Linked DNA regions of Anolis sagrei. The protein of the gene in region 2 interacts with the protein of the main gene of each other region in a pairwise test. Links are inferred from orthologs where the notes say so. Each region holds a gene or a part of one and is shown on either strand. Other genes may lie near its edges.

Region 1 (7,910 bases), on a different chromosome or scaffold from region 2:
GTCGGAAGAGACCTCGTGGGCAATCCAGTCCAACCTCATTCTGCCAAGAAGCAGGAAAATCACATCCAAAGCACCCCCGACAGATGGCCATCCCGCCTCTATTTCAAAGCCTCCAAAGAAGCAGGCTCTACCACACTCCAGGGCAGAGTTCCACTGCTGAACAGCTCTCGCAGTCAGGAAAATATTCCTAATGTTCAGATGGAATCTCCTTTCCTGTACTTTGAAGCCATTGTTCCACGTCCTAGTCTCCAGGGCAGCAGAAAGCAAGCTTGCACCCTCCTCCCTATGACTTCTCCTCACGTCTTGAGCCATGACTCTCAGCCTAATAATAATAATAACAATAATAACAACAACATAATATTAACATAATAATAATAATAATAATAACACTATTATTATTATTAATGTCTCCTCTCAGCCTAATAATAATAATAATAATAATAATAATAACAACGTTATTCTTATACCCCGCCACCATCTCCCCAAAGGGACTCGGGGCGGCTTACAGGGGCACAAGCTCACACTACAGATAAAACAGCATTAAAAACAATCAAATAAAAATGTACACGCAATCAAAACAACATCTTAAAACAATAGGCTGGGATAACAATCAAGTGCATAGTCAGGGTAGGAAAGGAATAGTTCTCTGGTAAAACTGCTCAATCAATGGCACGACAGAACATCCACGTTTTCAATTCTCTACAAAAAATGGATAATGTTGAGGCCTGTCTGATCTCCCCAGGGAGGGAGTTCCAGAACCAGGGAGCCACCACTGAGAAGGCCCTCTCCCTTGTTCCCACCAACCGTGCCTGAGACAGAGGCGGAAGTGAGAGGAAAGCCTCCCCTGGTGATCTCAAAGTGCGGGAGGGTTCATATGGGAAGATGCGGTCACGAAGATAAACTCGTTTCTGCAGGCTAAACAAGCCCAGCTCTTTAAGCCGCTCCTCATGGACACTTGATAATCATCACCAAGCTATTATTATAATTGCGGCCCAAGACGGAGTGCAAGTATTGCTTCCAAGTGTGGAGGCGTCTAACTTAACAGGCGGGGTGCAGAGCGGCTGGGGATGCCTTCCTGCCCTTTTTAAAGGGGCCTTGATGCAGAGAATCCCCTCCCTCTCCTTTCACGCATGAGCAGGCCTTCCCTTCCACACCTGTCAGGGCAAAGGCTTTGGGACCCTTCAGGGGCCATGTTGTTCATTCGTTCAGTTGCTTCCGACTCTTTGTGACCTCTTGGACCAGCCCACACCAGAGCTCCCTGTTGGCCATCACCACCCCCAGCTCTTTCAAGGTCAAGCCAGTCACTTCAAGGATGCTATCCATCCATCTTGCCCTTGGTCGGCCCCTCTTCCTTTTACCTTCAATTTTCCACAGCATAATTGTCTTCTCTAAGCTTTCCTGTCTTCTCATGATTTGGCCAAAATACTTCATATCTTGGCCTCTACTATCCTTCCCTCCAATGAGCAGTCGGGCTTTATTTCCCGAAGAATGGACTGATTGGATCTTCTCGCAGTCCAAGGCACTCTCAGAACTGTCCTCCAGCACCAGAGTTCAAAAGCATCTCTCTTCCTTCGCTCAGCCTTCCCTAAGGTCCAGCTCTCACATCCGTATGTGACTATGGGGAATACCAGTGCTTTTACTATGCGGATCTTTGTTGCCAGTATGATGTCTCTACTCTTCACTATTTTAACAAGATTGGACATTGCTCTCCTTCCAAGAAGTAAGCGTCTCCTGATTTCCTGGCCACAGTCTACATCTGCAGTAATCTTTGCACCTAGAAATGCCAAGTCTGTCACGGCCTCCACGTTTTCTCCCTCTATTTCCCAGTTGTCAATCAGTCTGGTTGCCATAATCTTGGTTTTTTTTATGTTTAACTGCAACCCAGCTTTTGCACTTTCTTCTTTCACCTTGATCAGAAGGCTCCCTAGCTCCTCCTCACTTTCGGCCATCAAAGTGGTATCATCTGCATATCTAAGGTTGTTAATGTTCCTTCCAGTAACTTTTACCCCAGCCTTGCATTTATCAAGCCCTGCACACCGCATGATGTGTTCTGCATACAAGTTGAATAGGTTGGGTGAGAGGATACAACCCTGCCGTACGCCTTTCCCAATCTTGAACCAGTGTGCTGTTCCATGGTCAGTTCTGACTGTTGCTACTTGGTCCTTGTACAGATTCCTCAGGAGAGAGACAAGGTGATTTGGTATTCCCATACCACCAAGAACTTGCCACAATTTATTATGATCCACAAAGTCTAAGGCTTTAGAATCTATATAAATAAAAATGTAATGTTTGTTTGTGAGATTAACAGAACTCAAAAACCACTGGGTGAATTAACAACAAATTTGGACACAAGACACATAACAACCCAATGTATGTCCTTCACTCTTAAAAAAATGATTTTGTCGTTTGGGAGTTGTAGTTGCTGGGATTTATAGTTCACCTACAATCAAAGACCATTCTGAACTCCACCAACGATGGAATTGAACCAAACTTGGCACACAGTTCTCCTATGACCAACAGAAACTACTAGAAGGGTTTGGTGGGCAGTGTCCTTTGGTTTTGGAGTTGTAGTTCACCTATATCCAGAGATCACTGTGGACTCAAACAATGATGGATCTGGACCAAACTCTACATGAATACTCAATATGCCCAAATGTGAACACTGGTGGAGTTTGGGAAAAATAGAATCTTGACATTTGGGAGTTGTAGTTGCTGGGAGTTATAGTTCACTTACAATCACAGAGCATTCTGAACCCCACCAACAATAGAATTGGGCAAACCTCCCACACAGAACCCCTATGTAGGCCACAGCAACGCGTGGCAGGGGACGGCTAGTAGTCGATAAAACAGAAATAGATGTTTTTCTGAAAGTCCTTGCCTTTCTACATTATCTACACGGAGAGAGAGTTGCCAGATAGAATCATAGAATCAAAGAGTTGGAAGAGACCTCATGGGCCATCCAGTCCAACCCCCTGCCAAGAAGCAGGAATATTGCATTCAAATCACCCCTGACAGATGGCCATTCAGCCTCTGTTTAAAAGCTTCCAAAGGAGGAGCCTCCACCACACTCCGGGGCAGAGAGTTCCACTGCTGAACGACTCTCACAGTCAGGAAGTTCTTCCTCATGTTCAGATGAGAGGAATCTGAGTTCAGAGCTTGTTCACGGCACGAATCAAACTTATAAGTCAAGGTATCACTGTCTTTAGAAATACACCCTCAGAGTGTTAGAAAGACTGGGAAGTAGCTCTGGGGTTATGGAAAGGAACAGAGAAAGAGAGGAGGATAAGGAGGAGGAAGAAGAAGGAAGGAGTGGAAGAGGAGTAGAAAGAGAGAAGAAAGGAGGAGGCCCCTCAGAGTCCCCCTCTCACTCTTGAGGACCTCAGACCCTAACTTGTGACCGGGGTTCAGCCCAAAGAGGTGGATTTTGCAACAGCTCTCAGTCTACTTACTCCAGCCCTCTTAAATATTGTACAAATCATCTTCTAGGCCAGGCATGAGCCAACTTTGGCTCTCCCTCATAGAATCATAGTGTTGGAAGAGACCTAATGGGCTATCCAGTTGTAGTTTGAAGCCATTGTTCCGCGTCCTAGTCTCCAGGGAAGCAGAAAGCAAGCTTGCTCCCTCCTCCCTGTGGCTTCCTCTCAAATATTTATACATGGCTATCATATCCCCTCTCAACCTTCTCTTCTTCAGGCTCAACATGCCCAGCTCCTTAAGCCGCTCCTCATAGGGCTTGTTCTCCAGACCCTTGATCATTTTAGTGGCTCTCCTCTGGACACATTCCAGCTTGTCAATATCAAGCTGAGTATAGAAAAGGCAGAGGAACGAGAAACTAGGAGCCATAGAAGAAAATAAAGATGGGTAGAGCAAGGCACTTCCTGGTCCCTCCACCTTGAGAGCAAGAAAGCCCCCTCTACGCGAGGCCCCGCCCCTTTCTCTTCTACTTAGGTCAACAGTAAGCTGGGCTGACAGTCCGCAGCTTATGCCTACCCAGGGCTTCGAACTGGCAGCCTTTTTCTGCTGGTAGATCTTATCATTGCTGGGCTGTGCTAAAGCCCCGGCTTTCCTCTCTTCTGCAGAACAAGCCCCGCCCCTTTCTCACAAGCCCCGCCCCTTTCTCTTCTACTTAGGTCAACAGTAAGCTGGGCTGACAGTTGGCAGCTTATGCCTACCCAGGGCTTCAAACTGGCAGCCTTTTTCTGCTGGTAGATCTTATCATTGCTGGGCTGTGCTAAAGCCCCGGCTTTCCTCTCTTCCGCAGAACAAGCCCCGCCCCTTTCTCACAAGCCCCGCCCCTTTCTCTTCTACTTAGGTCAACAGTAAGGTGGGCTGACAGTCGGCAGCTTACGCCTACCCAGACCCCTTTCTCACAGGCCCCGCCCTCTTCGCCCCCTTATATTTCCTCACCGCTTGGCCTCCTCCAAGTGGCAGAGGTACTCGTAGGCCACGTTCTGCAGGCGCCTCTCGTCCATCTCCTCCGCCGTCATCCGCTCGTTGTCCAGCACCGCTACAGAAGGGGGAAAATAGAGGGAGGGGCGTCAGGAAGGGTCTCCTTCCCCTTCCCCTCGGAAAGAAAATGAGGACGGAAGGCCACTCACAGCCATAGTGGGGCCGAGCCGCGCCCTCAAGCTCCTCCGCGGCCGACATCTTTCTCTCTCTCTCTCTCTCTCCAAGCGGAGAAGGCGCGCTCTTAGCCTTCCTTCCTGCCTTGCCTGACTGACTGACTGACTGACAAGGCGCGGCCGGAAGCAGCCCTTCCCGGGCCTTGGGCGCATGCGCGGGAAACGTTCCCGCCCAATCGGCTAGCTCCGCCCCCTCCGCGCCTCCGCCAGTCAGTCACGTGCCCCTCTGCTTCCTTCCGGGATGATCCACGAGCTGCTCCTGGCGCTGCGGGGCTACGCGGGGGGGCTCTTCGTGGCCAGCGGGGGGCTGCAGGTGTGGCCCCGCCCCCTCCTGGTTGCCTTGGCCCCGCCCCCAAGTGTCTCTCTCTGTGTCTCTCCTGAAACGCGCTTCTCCCTCTTCTCCGACAGGTGGCTCCCGAAGCGGTGCCGGGGCTGATTCACCCGAGCGAGGCCGCGCTGCTAGGCCGCCTCCTCCGCCTCGGCTCCTTCTACCTCCGCTTCAGCGAGTTCATCGAGCCCGCCAATCAGAGCAGCAATGCCGGCGAGGCCCCGCCCCCTCCCGCGCAGGCCCCGCCCCCGGCGCTCCCGCCCGCCCCGCCCCCACAGGTGAGCAAAGCTGCATTGGGACAGCATGGCATGCAAGACACCTGCCAATACATGTAGTAGTATTATTATTATTATGAGCATTGTTACAGCATATATATATATATATATATATATAGACATATGTTATCGTTTTTATATATAATATTTATTTATTGGATATGTTATTATTTTGTATATAAAAATATACAAAATATATAATTATTGTTGGCTATATTATTGTTTTATATAATAATATAAAATATAAAATAATAATAATATATTATTATGAGCTTGTTGATCGAAAGGTCGCAGGTTCGATTCCAGGGAGCGGCGTGAGCTTCCGCTGTCAGCCCTAGTTTCTGCCAACCTAGCAGTTTGAAAACATGCAAATGTGAGTAGATAAATAGGTACCGCTCCGGCAGGAAAGTAACGGCGCTCCATGCAGTCATGCCGGCCACATGACCTTGGAGGTGTCTACAGACAACGCTGGCTCTTCGGCTTAGAAATGGAGATGAGCACCACACCCCAGAGTCAGACATGACTGGACTTAATGTCAGGGGACTACCTTTACCTTTATATAGTATATCAATGAGGGATTATTCCATAGGACATTTAGTGCAATACACTTGCAAACAGATGTATTATTATTATTATTATTATTATTATTATTATTATATATACACACACATATATATATACATACAAATATATGTTATTGTTTTTATATATTATTCTTATTGGAAATGTTATTTTATATATTATTATCATTTCCAGGAGGGAATTATTCAATTGGACATTGAATGCAATTCACTTGCAAATAAATTTATAATTTTTATCACTATTTGTGTGTGTGTGTGTGTATTATCATTTTTATATATAATTATTGTAGGATATGTTATTTTATATGGTATTACGTCAATGAAGGATTATTTAATAGGAGTATTAGTGCAATGCATTTGCAAATGTATTATTATTATGAGATATATATATATATATACACACACACACACACACACACATGTTATTAGTTTGTATATAATTATTATTGGAAATGTTATTATGTTCTATATTATCATCATTTCCAGGAGGGGATTATTCAATTGGACATTGAATGCAATACACTTGCAAATAAATGTATTATTTTTATCACTATTTGTGTGTGTGTGTGTTTGAGTGTGTGATCATTTCTATATGCAATTATTATTGGAAGTGTCATTATTTTATATATTATCATTTCCAGGAGGGGAATTGGACATTTAATGTATTATTAAATAAATGTATTATTTTTATCACTATTAATTGTGTGTGTGTGTTACCATTTTTATATATAATTTTTGTTGGATATGTTTATATAGTATTATGTCAATGAGGGATTATTCAATAGGACATTTAGTGTAATACACTTGCAAATAAATGTATTATTATTATTATTATTATTATTATCATCTTCATCATTTTTATGGTAGTATTTATGTTATTTATTTATGTATTGGTCACATTTGTACCCCACCCTTCTCAATCAGGAGGAGGACTCAGGGCACCCTTGCAACAGGCAGCAATTCAGTGCCACACACTGTGAATTGTGCTCGGTAGCAGACTGGCAGCCAGTGGAGCGGACACAACAGAGGGGTTGTGTGCTCCCTGTATGCCACTTCTCATCTCAATTGAATTCCTTCAAACATAGATTGCAGCCAGATCTGTCCATAAATCAGTCATTATTTGACCCTTCTTTCCTTCTTACTGCAGGAGTTGCCTCCGCCGGGGATCTACCTACGCGCCTTCTGTGCAGGGCTTGACGCCGTGCTGCAGCCCTACCGCCAGGCTTTGCTGGACCTGGAGCTAGAGGTGAGGGGGTCACAGCGGGATCTGGGGACAAGGCTCCACCCAAACTTTAGGAAGAGCTTCCTAACTGTGAGAGCTGTTCAGCAGGGGAACTCTCTGCCTTGGAGTGTGGTGGACACTTTTAAACAGAGGCTGAATGGCCATCTATTGGGGGTGCTTTGAGTGTGATTTTCCTGCTTCTCAGCAGAGGGTTGGACTTGATGGCCTACGAGGTCTCTTCCAACTCTAGGATTCTATGATTCAAGGGGGGGCTCCTCTGACCCATCTCTCTCTCTCTCTGCAGTTCCTGGCCGACCCCCACCTGACTATCGCCCACCTCAACTACTCCCTGGACCAGGTATGATTGTTGCCCCCCTTTGGCCAGGAAGAGATGCTGCAGGAAAGGCCCAGGTACACCTTTGATGCTTCCTTCCTCATCCTCTCTTGCAGTTCCAGCTCCTCTTCCCCTCCTTGATGGTTGTGGTAGAACAGATCAAGACCCAGAAGGTAGGTGCAAGGAGGAGGGGGTTGGTGGTCAGCGGGGGTCACCAAGGGAGGGAAGGAGGGAAGAGTAGACCTCTGTTTACAGAAGCCGACTGAAGCTAGAAGAAAATGTTCCCCCTCCCAAGGACTCTGCTCCTTCCTACACCACAACAGTGGTGTCCAGCAAGGCAGGACTGCCATTTCTTCTCATCTCAGTAGGCATTACGTATATAATTGTGATGCATGTCTAGAAGCATCTGCATTATACTATTATTTTGTGAAATATGGGGAAACCATTGAATCCCTCTCAATGCTGAAACACAACATTAAGTTGATTTTGTGGGACAGCTTCTCTCTCTCTCTCTTTGCAGATCCATGGCTGCCAGATCCTGGAGGTGG
Region 2 (7,134 bases):
CAGCTCTCTGGAATGGGTCTTGGGGGCATTACTCCGCTCCTTCCTGGAGGGTCACTCCCAGTTGGGGAAGCTGGGGGATACCTGCTCGGACCCATGGCCTTTGACCTGTGGGGTCCCACAAGGTTGCATTCTATCCCCCATGTTTTCAATATCTACATGAAACCACTGGGTAGGATTATCCAGAGTTTTGGAGTTGGGTACCATCTGTACACAGATGACACCCAACTCTACTACTCATTTCCACCAAATTCCAAGGAAGCCTCCCAGACCTTGAACCAGTGTCTATCAGCTGTGATGGACTGGATGAGGGCTAACAGGTTGAAGCTTAATCCAGACAAGACAGAGGTCCTCCTGGTCAGTTGTGGGGCCGACCAGGGTATTGGGTGGCAACCTGTGCGTCCCCTGAGGACGCAGGTCCGTAGCTTGGGGGTTCTCCTGGATTCAACGCTGTCACTTGATGCTCAGGTGTCGGCGGTGGCTGGGAGGGCCTTTGCACAATTCATACTTGTGCACCAGCTGCAACCATACCTAGTGAAGTCTGACTTGGCCAGGGTGATCCACACCTTGATTATATCTAGATTGGGCTACTGCAATGTGCTCTACGTGGGGCTGCCCTTGAGGACAGCCTGGAAATTTCAACTGGTACAACGAATAGCAGCCAGGCTCCTTAATGGAGCAAACTATAGGGAGCATGCAACGCCCATATTAAAACAGCTTCATTGGCTGCTTGTTGAAACCACCAGGTCTTCAAGCTCTTACGAAAGGAGGGGAGGGATGGGGCCTGTCTTATTTCCCTTGGAAGGGTGTTCCAGAGGCAGGGGACCACCACCGAGAAGGCCCTCTCTCTCATCCCCACCAACCATACGTGTGACAGTAGTGGGAGCGAAAGGAGGGCCTCCCCGGAAGATCTTAGAGCTCGCGCCAGTTCATATAAGGAGATGCAATTGCAGAGATAGGCAGGTCCTATCTCTACTGAAGCACCTTCTCCTAACCTGGTGATCTTTTGTTGTGCTGGATTGCAGTGCCCATCATCCCCTACTAACAGGGCCATTTGCAACTACAGAAACTGTCGAATACGGTTGAAGGGTCCAAGGATGGAGAAAGCTGAAATTAAAGGATGTGGCAAACTTCACTACTGTTCTGTTGTATGCTAGGTAAACTTCACTACTGTTCCTTTGTTTTTGATTAAATGGTTTGAATCAAACTATAGGCAGCTTGTGACCAGAGCAGAGGTGAGAGAGTGTCACTCAAAATACCCGAGCCTCCTGCTTCGATCACAAGCTGCCACTGTGCCATCAAGCCATGATTCGCCCACCCCTGCCAGCCTTGACTCCTCTCTGTGCCCATAGATGTGTCTTCTACTGGAGTTTCAATTGACAAGAAATCCAGAAGTTTGTGGAACATGATGGGGTTTTTTTTATTGTTGCTGTCTTTAAAAAACCACTGGAGTGGAAAGCTAGTCTGGGGGTTCAAAGAGGCATTCAATTTAAATCTCTCTTAATTAGCTTCTGAGCTGCTTTGTTCAGCTGGCTGGTGAGATGAATCAAAGTTCTGCCATTTGGACAGTTTTAGCAAGAGAAGACAGCCGGTTCGTGGAGGAAAGACAGCTGTGTTTTCAGTGTTTCATTTCTGAAAGTGATGCTCAAATCTCAATTGAAACTATACTTTCTGGTCAGCAATTTCATCCAGATTGACTGCTGTTATTCACTGAGGAAGAAGAGATTCTGTACACGCACAGAGGCATTTTTGTTGTCGTTAACTGCCGTCAAGACGACTTTGAGTCAACATGTTGTGTTATCATCTACCGTATGGCCTGCTCAGCCTTTGCAGATCCAGATTCTATAGTTTAACAATGTATTATTGTACTCTTTTTTTTCTTTTCCGCAAGCACACGCAGAGTGCTTTCCTCCTACTGTTTTGTAATAATTGCTCACATCACTATACTGCTATTAAAAGTTCAAGATTTCAAGATGTGGCTTTCTGGCAGAATTGATTGAAATAACTTCTCAGAGTAAAAATTCGTCAGAAAAACCCATCTCTGGATGGGCAGCTTGTATGAAGAAAACTTACTTTACTTAGGCAATCCCTCATTGTCCGGGTAGGATAGTCTTCCAAGATCAGTGTACTGGTGAGTCCGTAGGTGACTGTGGAGCCCTATTCTTGATCTGCATCTTCTCCCGCAGTGAGGGCATTGGTTTCCAGATGGAAGGCGGTCTCGGTTGGGGTTGGCTTGACGTGCCTTCCTCTTGGCACATTTCTCTCACCCTCCATTCATGCCTCTTCAAATTCTACAGCACTGCTGGTCAAAGCTGACCTCCAGCTGGAGTACTCAAGGGCCAGGGCTTCCCAGTTCTCAGTGTCTATGCCAAAGTTTTTAAGGTTGGCTTTGAGCCCATCTTTAAATCTCTTTTCCTGCCCTCCAACATTCCGTTTTCCATTCTTGAGTTCAGAGTAGAGCTTTGGGAGACAGTGGTTGGGCATCCGGACAACGTGGCGGAGTTGATGGCAGAGGACCATCGCTTCAATGCTGGTGGTCTTTGCTTCTTCCAGCATGCTGACATTTGTCCACTTGTCTTCCCAAGAGATTTGCAGGATTTTCTGGAGACAGCACTGATGGAATCGTTCCAGAAGTTGCAACTGCTTTGAGAAACGGTGGTCAGGCATTGGGCAATGTGGCTGGTCCAGCGGAGTTGATGGTGGAGGACCATTGCTTCAATGCTGGTGATCTTTGCATCTTCCAGCATGCTGACATTTGTCCGCTTGTCTTCCCAAGAGATTTGCAGGATTTTCCGGAGATAGCACTGATGGAATCGTTCCAGAAGTTGCATGTGATGTCTGTAGACAGTCCATGTTTCGCAGGCATATAGCAGAGTTGGGAGGACAATAGCTTTATAAACAAGCACCTTGGTATCCCTGTGGATGTCCCGGTCCTCAAACACACTCTGCTTCATTCGGAAAAAGGCTGCACTTGCAGAGTTCAGGTGGTGTAGTATTTCAGAGTCAATGTTGACTTTTGTGGAGAGGTGGCTGCCAAGGTAGCGGAAATGATCAACATTTTCGAATGTTACACCATTAAGCTGTATTTCTGGCTTTGGAGAGGGATTGGCTGGTGACTGATGGAAGCGCTCTTTGGTTTTCTCGATGTTCAGTGACAGGCCGAGCTTCTCATATGCTTCTGCGATGATATTTAGAGTGGCTTGTAGGTTTTCTTCTGAATGCGCACAGGTGACGTTGTCATCACTATACTAGAGTTCTATAACAGATGTTGTTGTAACCTTGGTTTTGGCTTTCAGTCTGCTGAGATTAAATACCTTGCCATATGTCCGATAGATGATTTCCACTCCGGTGGGAAGCTTCCCATCAACAAAATGCAGGGAACAAAATCAACCACTGTACATGGCATTCATTGACCTTGCAAAGGCATTTGACACAGTGAATCGCAGCGCTCTCTGGACCATCCTCCAAAAAATCGGGTGCCCTAACAAATTTGTGAACATCCTGCAGCTCCTCCATGATGGCATGATGGCAACAATCTTGGACAGCAATTGATCCCAAAGTGACACATTTAAGGTGGAATCAGGTGTCAAACAGGCATGTGTTATTTCACCAACTTCATTCTCCATCTTCATCGCTATGATACTATGATACTTCATGAAGAATACAGATCTTTTGGTTGCCTTTGAGCCTCTTTCTTTGAGCCTTCATGTAAACATGGCCGTTATGTGATTGTTGGCTATACAAATAGAAGAGTGCCATTTGTCATGTAAATGAGTATTCGTTCAAAGCATTGCAAGAAAACAGAGAGGGGGAGATTAACTGAGTTTTTGTAATAAGTGCCCCTATTATTCGAAGGCAAAAAGGACAACCTTAGTCTTGTGGGAATCCCATTGCAGTGATGTGCTGTGACAGATAGTTGTGATGGTCATTACCAATGGACACAGCTACATCATTAATCCAAGTCCATTTTCTCTCTGTTTCATCAAGAAAACTCAAAACTTCTCCCCAATGTCCTCCTTTTGCAGCTTTGCCAGGGCAAGGGCACTTGGCATAGCAAATGTGAGATGTCAGGACCTGGCACACAACCCATTCCTCCCTCCCTCTCCAGCCCTTTACACGCAAATGGCCGGGCATGGTTAACCTTCTTGTATAAAAACCCTTTGCAGCACAGAGAGAGGAAGCTGTCCGAGCCTGCAAAGCCTGGAGAAGGGATTTCACCATGGAAGGGCAGAGGCTGTCATCCTATGGGAGACGCTTTGGCTCGCAAACCAGCTCTGTCCACCATGCTCTGAGGTTCTCACCAGGCCGCAGGTACATGCCTTCAAGTGCTACCAGTCGGGTCTCTGTCACCAAACTGAAGACTGCCAGCCTCAGTTTTCGTGCTGGCCCTAAGTTCTCAGACAAGGTGGATTTTTCCTTGGCTGATGCCCTTAATACTGAGTTCAAGGAGACCCGTACCAACGAGAAGGTGGAGATGATGGAGCTGAATGACCGCTTTGCCAGCTACATTGAGAAGGTCCGTTTCCTTGAGCAGCAGAACAAGGTTCTGGTAACTGAGCTCAACCAAATCCGAGACAAGGAGCCCACCAAGTTGGCTGATATCTACCAGGAGGAGCTGAGAGATCTACGCCACCAAGTAGACCAGCTCTCCAACTCTAAGGCCCGGCTGGAGATTGAGAGGGACAACCTGCTGGAGGATCTCAACAATCTTCGGCAAAAGTAAGCAAACTATTCATAAGATCTTGACCTAGAAATGGGCAATGAGAGAGCTGAAGCAAGAGAACAATATGCAAGTGTACTGGGAAATTTTGCAGTTAGAGGAGGATTCTTGCCGGATGACTTTGTTACTAGTTTTACACACTACATTTTTTCGCACTACAATTCTAATGATCCCTTTTGAGCTGGGTTCCTCAAACTTTTTAAACAGAGGGCCAGGTCACAATCCCTCAAACTGTTGGAGGGCCGGATTATAATTTGAAAAAACATGAATGAATTCCTATGCACACTGCACATTTCTTATTTGTAGTGCATTTTTTTAAAAAAATAATACAATAATTAAAATTAAGAACAATGTAAACAAATATAAACTTATTAGTATTTCAGTGGGAAGTGTGGCACTGCTTTTGGCTGATGAGATAGGATTGTTGTTGTTGTTGTTGTGTGCTTTCAAGTCATTTCATACTTAGGTTGATCCTGAGCGAGGGCCAGGTAAATGACCTTGGATGGCTGTATCCGGGCCCTAGGCCATAGTTTGAGGACCCCTGCTTTTGAGTATGGAACGGAATTTTCCAGGATGTGATTTGTCTATTTTGTAACATATTATTATTATTATTATTATTATTATTGTCTTTTTATTTATTTATTCATTATTAATTATGTATTTTATTATTATTATTATTATTATTATTATTATTGTCTTTTCATTCATAATTTATTTATTTATTTATTGTGTTTATTATTATTATTATTATTATTATTATTATTATGAGTATGGGACAGAATTTTCCAGGATGTGATTTGTCTATTTTGTAACATTTTATTTATCATTATTATTGTCTTTTTATTTATTTATTTATTTATTTATTTTTATTTTATTTATTATTATTATTATTATTATTGTCTTGTCCAAGGTGGCTTGAGTTGTCTAAAACAGTGCTTCCTATGCTATGTAATGCATAGGACTGGCAATTCTTTCCACCAATGTGCACAGGGGACCAATCCTATATTAGTTCTCATTAGCTACAATTGTTATTTTCTATCCTGGAATCTCGCCAAAGACCATCAGCAGTACTTTGAATAGAGCTGGTCTTCAACAGTTTCTCTTAACATGGCATTCTCTATGGCACTGAATCTATACTGACCAGGGATTATGTGAGTTGTAGTACATTGTGTATCTTGAAAGTGCCAGCTTAGGAAAAGCTGATAAATGAAGAATAGAATTCAAAACAGTTCTGGGAAACCTTGTGATTCCTCTGAACCTCATTAGTTCTTTAATGAGAACATCATAATGGCCGGCCAGCAGCACTCAATGGCATCTTGCCCACCTCTGCTGACTGTCTCCTGCAACAAGCAAAGTGGGAAATAGTCCAAGGGATGACTTGAAGTTAATGATGAAGCCCAGCAGATGTGGACAATAGTTCTTGTGAAGTGGAGAGTGTAAAAACTGCAGCTGTGTTCACCTTCCTTTTATGGGAAACTTTTAATAACCAACCTGCCCTTTCCTGTAAGACTAGGTTGTATTTGGAGTGGTGAATTGATGAATCTGCTCTGGGTTTTTGCCTGAACTTTAAAGGAGCTATTCAAAGTGATGAAATTATTTGCAGGGTAAGGAAATTGAGCAAATGATTCCTTCCCAATTTCTGATTCTATGCTTACGTCTTTCTATGCTAAACCCATTTTATGTTAAATTATTCTGAAAGTATCACCAACAAACAGGACTTGAGAGTTCCACAATAAGGAGAAGATTCTATGCAAGAATCATAGAATCATAAAGTTGGAAGAGACCTCATGGGCCATCCAGTCCAACCCCCTGCCAAGAAGCAGGGAAATTGCATTCAAACCACCCCCGACAGATGGCCATTCAGCTTCTGTTTAAAAGCTTCCAAAGAAGGAGCATCTACCACATTCTGAGGCAGAGAGTTCCAATGCTGAACAGCTCTCACAGTCAGGAAGTTCTTCCTCATGTTCAGATGGACTCTCCTTTCTTGTACTTTGGAGCCATTGTTCCACGTCCTAGTCTCCAGGGCAGCAGAAAACAAGTTCGCTCCTCCTCCCTGTGGCTTCCTCTCACATATTTATACATGGCTATCATCAGGCCCGTAGCCAGGATTTCGTTTCGGGGGGGGGGGGGCTGAATTTTTTTCAGGGGGGGTGGGGGGGCTGAGTTTCGGGGGTGGGGCTGAGTCTGAGTGAAAGAGGGTCTAGCCTAGCAAACCTTTTGTATCATTACCCCAATACCCCCATGCATATGGGATATATTGAGCATGGTGATCAGCTCATGATATGAATAAACATAAAAGTTTAAATAATGCACCAGTAAGGCCTTTTCGCGAACCACCATGAGAATTTCGAACCCCCCCCCCCCCCAGCTACATGCCTGGCTATCATGTCTCCTCTCAGCCTTCACTTCTTCAGGCT

What was found.
Region 1: the proteins of GFAP (region 2) and TUBGCP4 interact in a two-hybrid assay, tested with the Homo sapiens proteins (2 studies listed by BioGRID and IntAct). The two-hybrid records come from large-scale screens. The link is inferred for Anolis sagrei from reciprocal best matches to the Homo sapiens genes GFAP and TUBGCP4.

The regions. Positions count from the first base shown.
Region 1 is NC_090029.1:22,410,218-22,418,127, forward strand, and holds the start of TUBGCP4 (gamma-tubulin complex component 4), read left to right. Parts: upstream 1-4,819; 5' UTR 4,820-4,863; coding exon 4,864-4,935; intron 4,936-5,030; coding exon 5,031-5,228; intron 5,229-6,953; coding exon 6,954-7,052; intron 7,053-7,332; coding exon 7,333-7,386; intron 7,387-7,478; coding exon 7,479-7,535; intron 7,536-7,882; coding exon 7,883-7,910. Other genes in the region: ras GTPase-activating-like protein IQGAP1, read right to left, coding at 4,408-4,507, 4,599-4,647. UniProt on the Homo sapiens protein: Component of the gamma-tubulin ring complex (gTuRC) which mediates microtubule nucleation.
Region 2 is NC_090026.1:47,480,837-47,487,970, forward strand, and holds the start of GFAP (glial fibrillary acidic protein), read left to right. Parts: upstream 1-4,129; 5' UTR 4,130-4,216; coding exon 4,217-4,716; intron 4,717-7,134.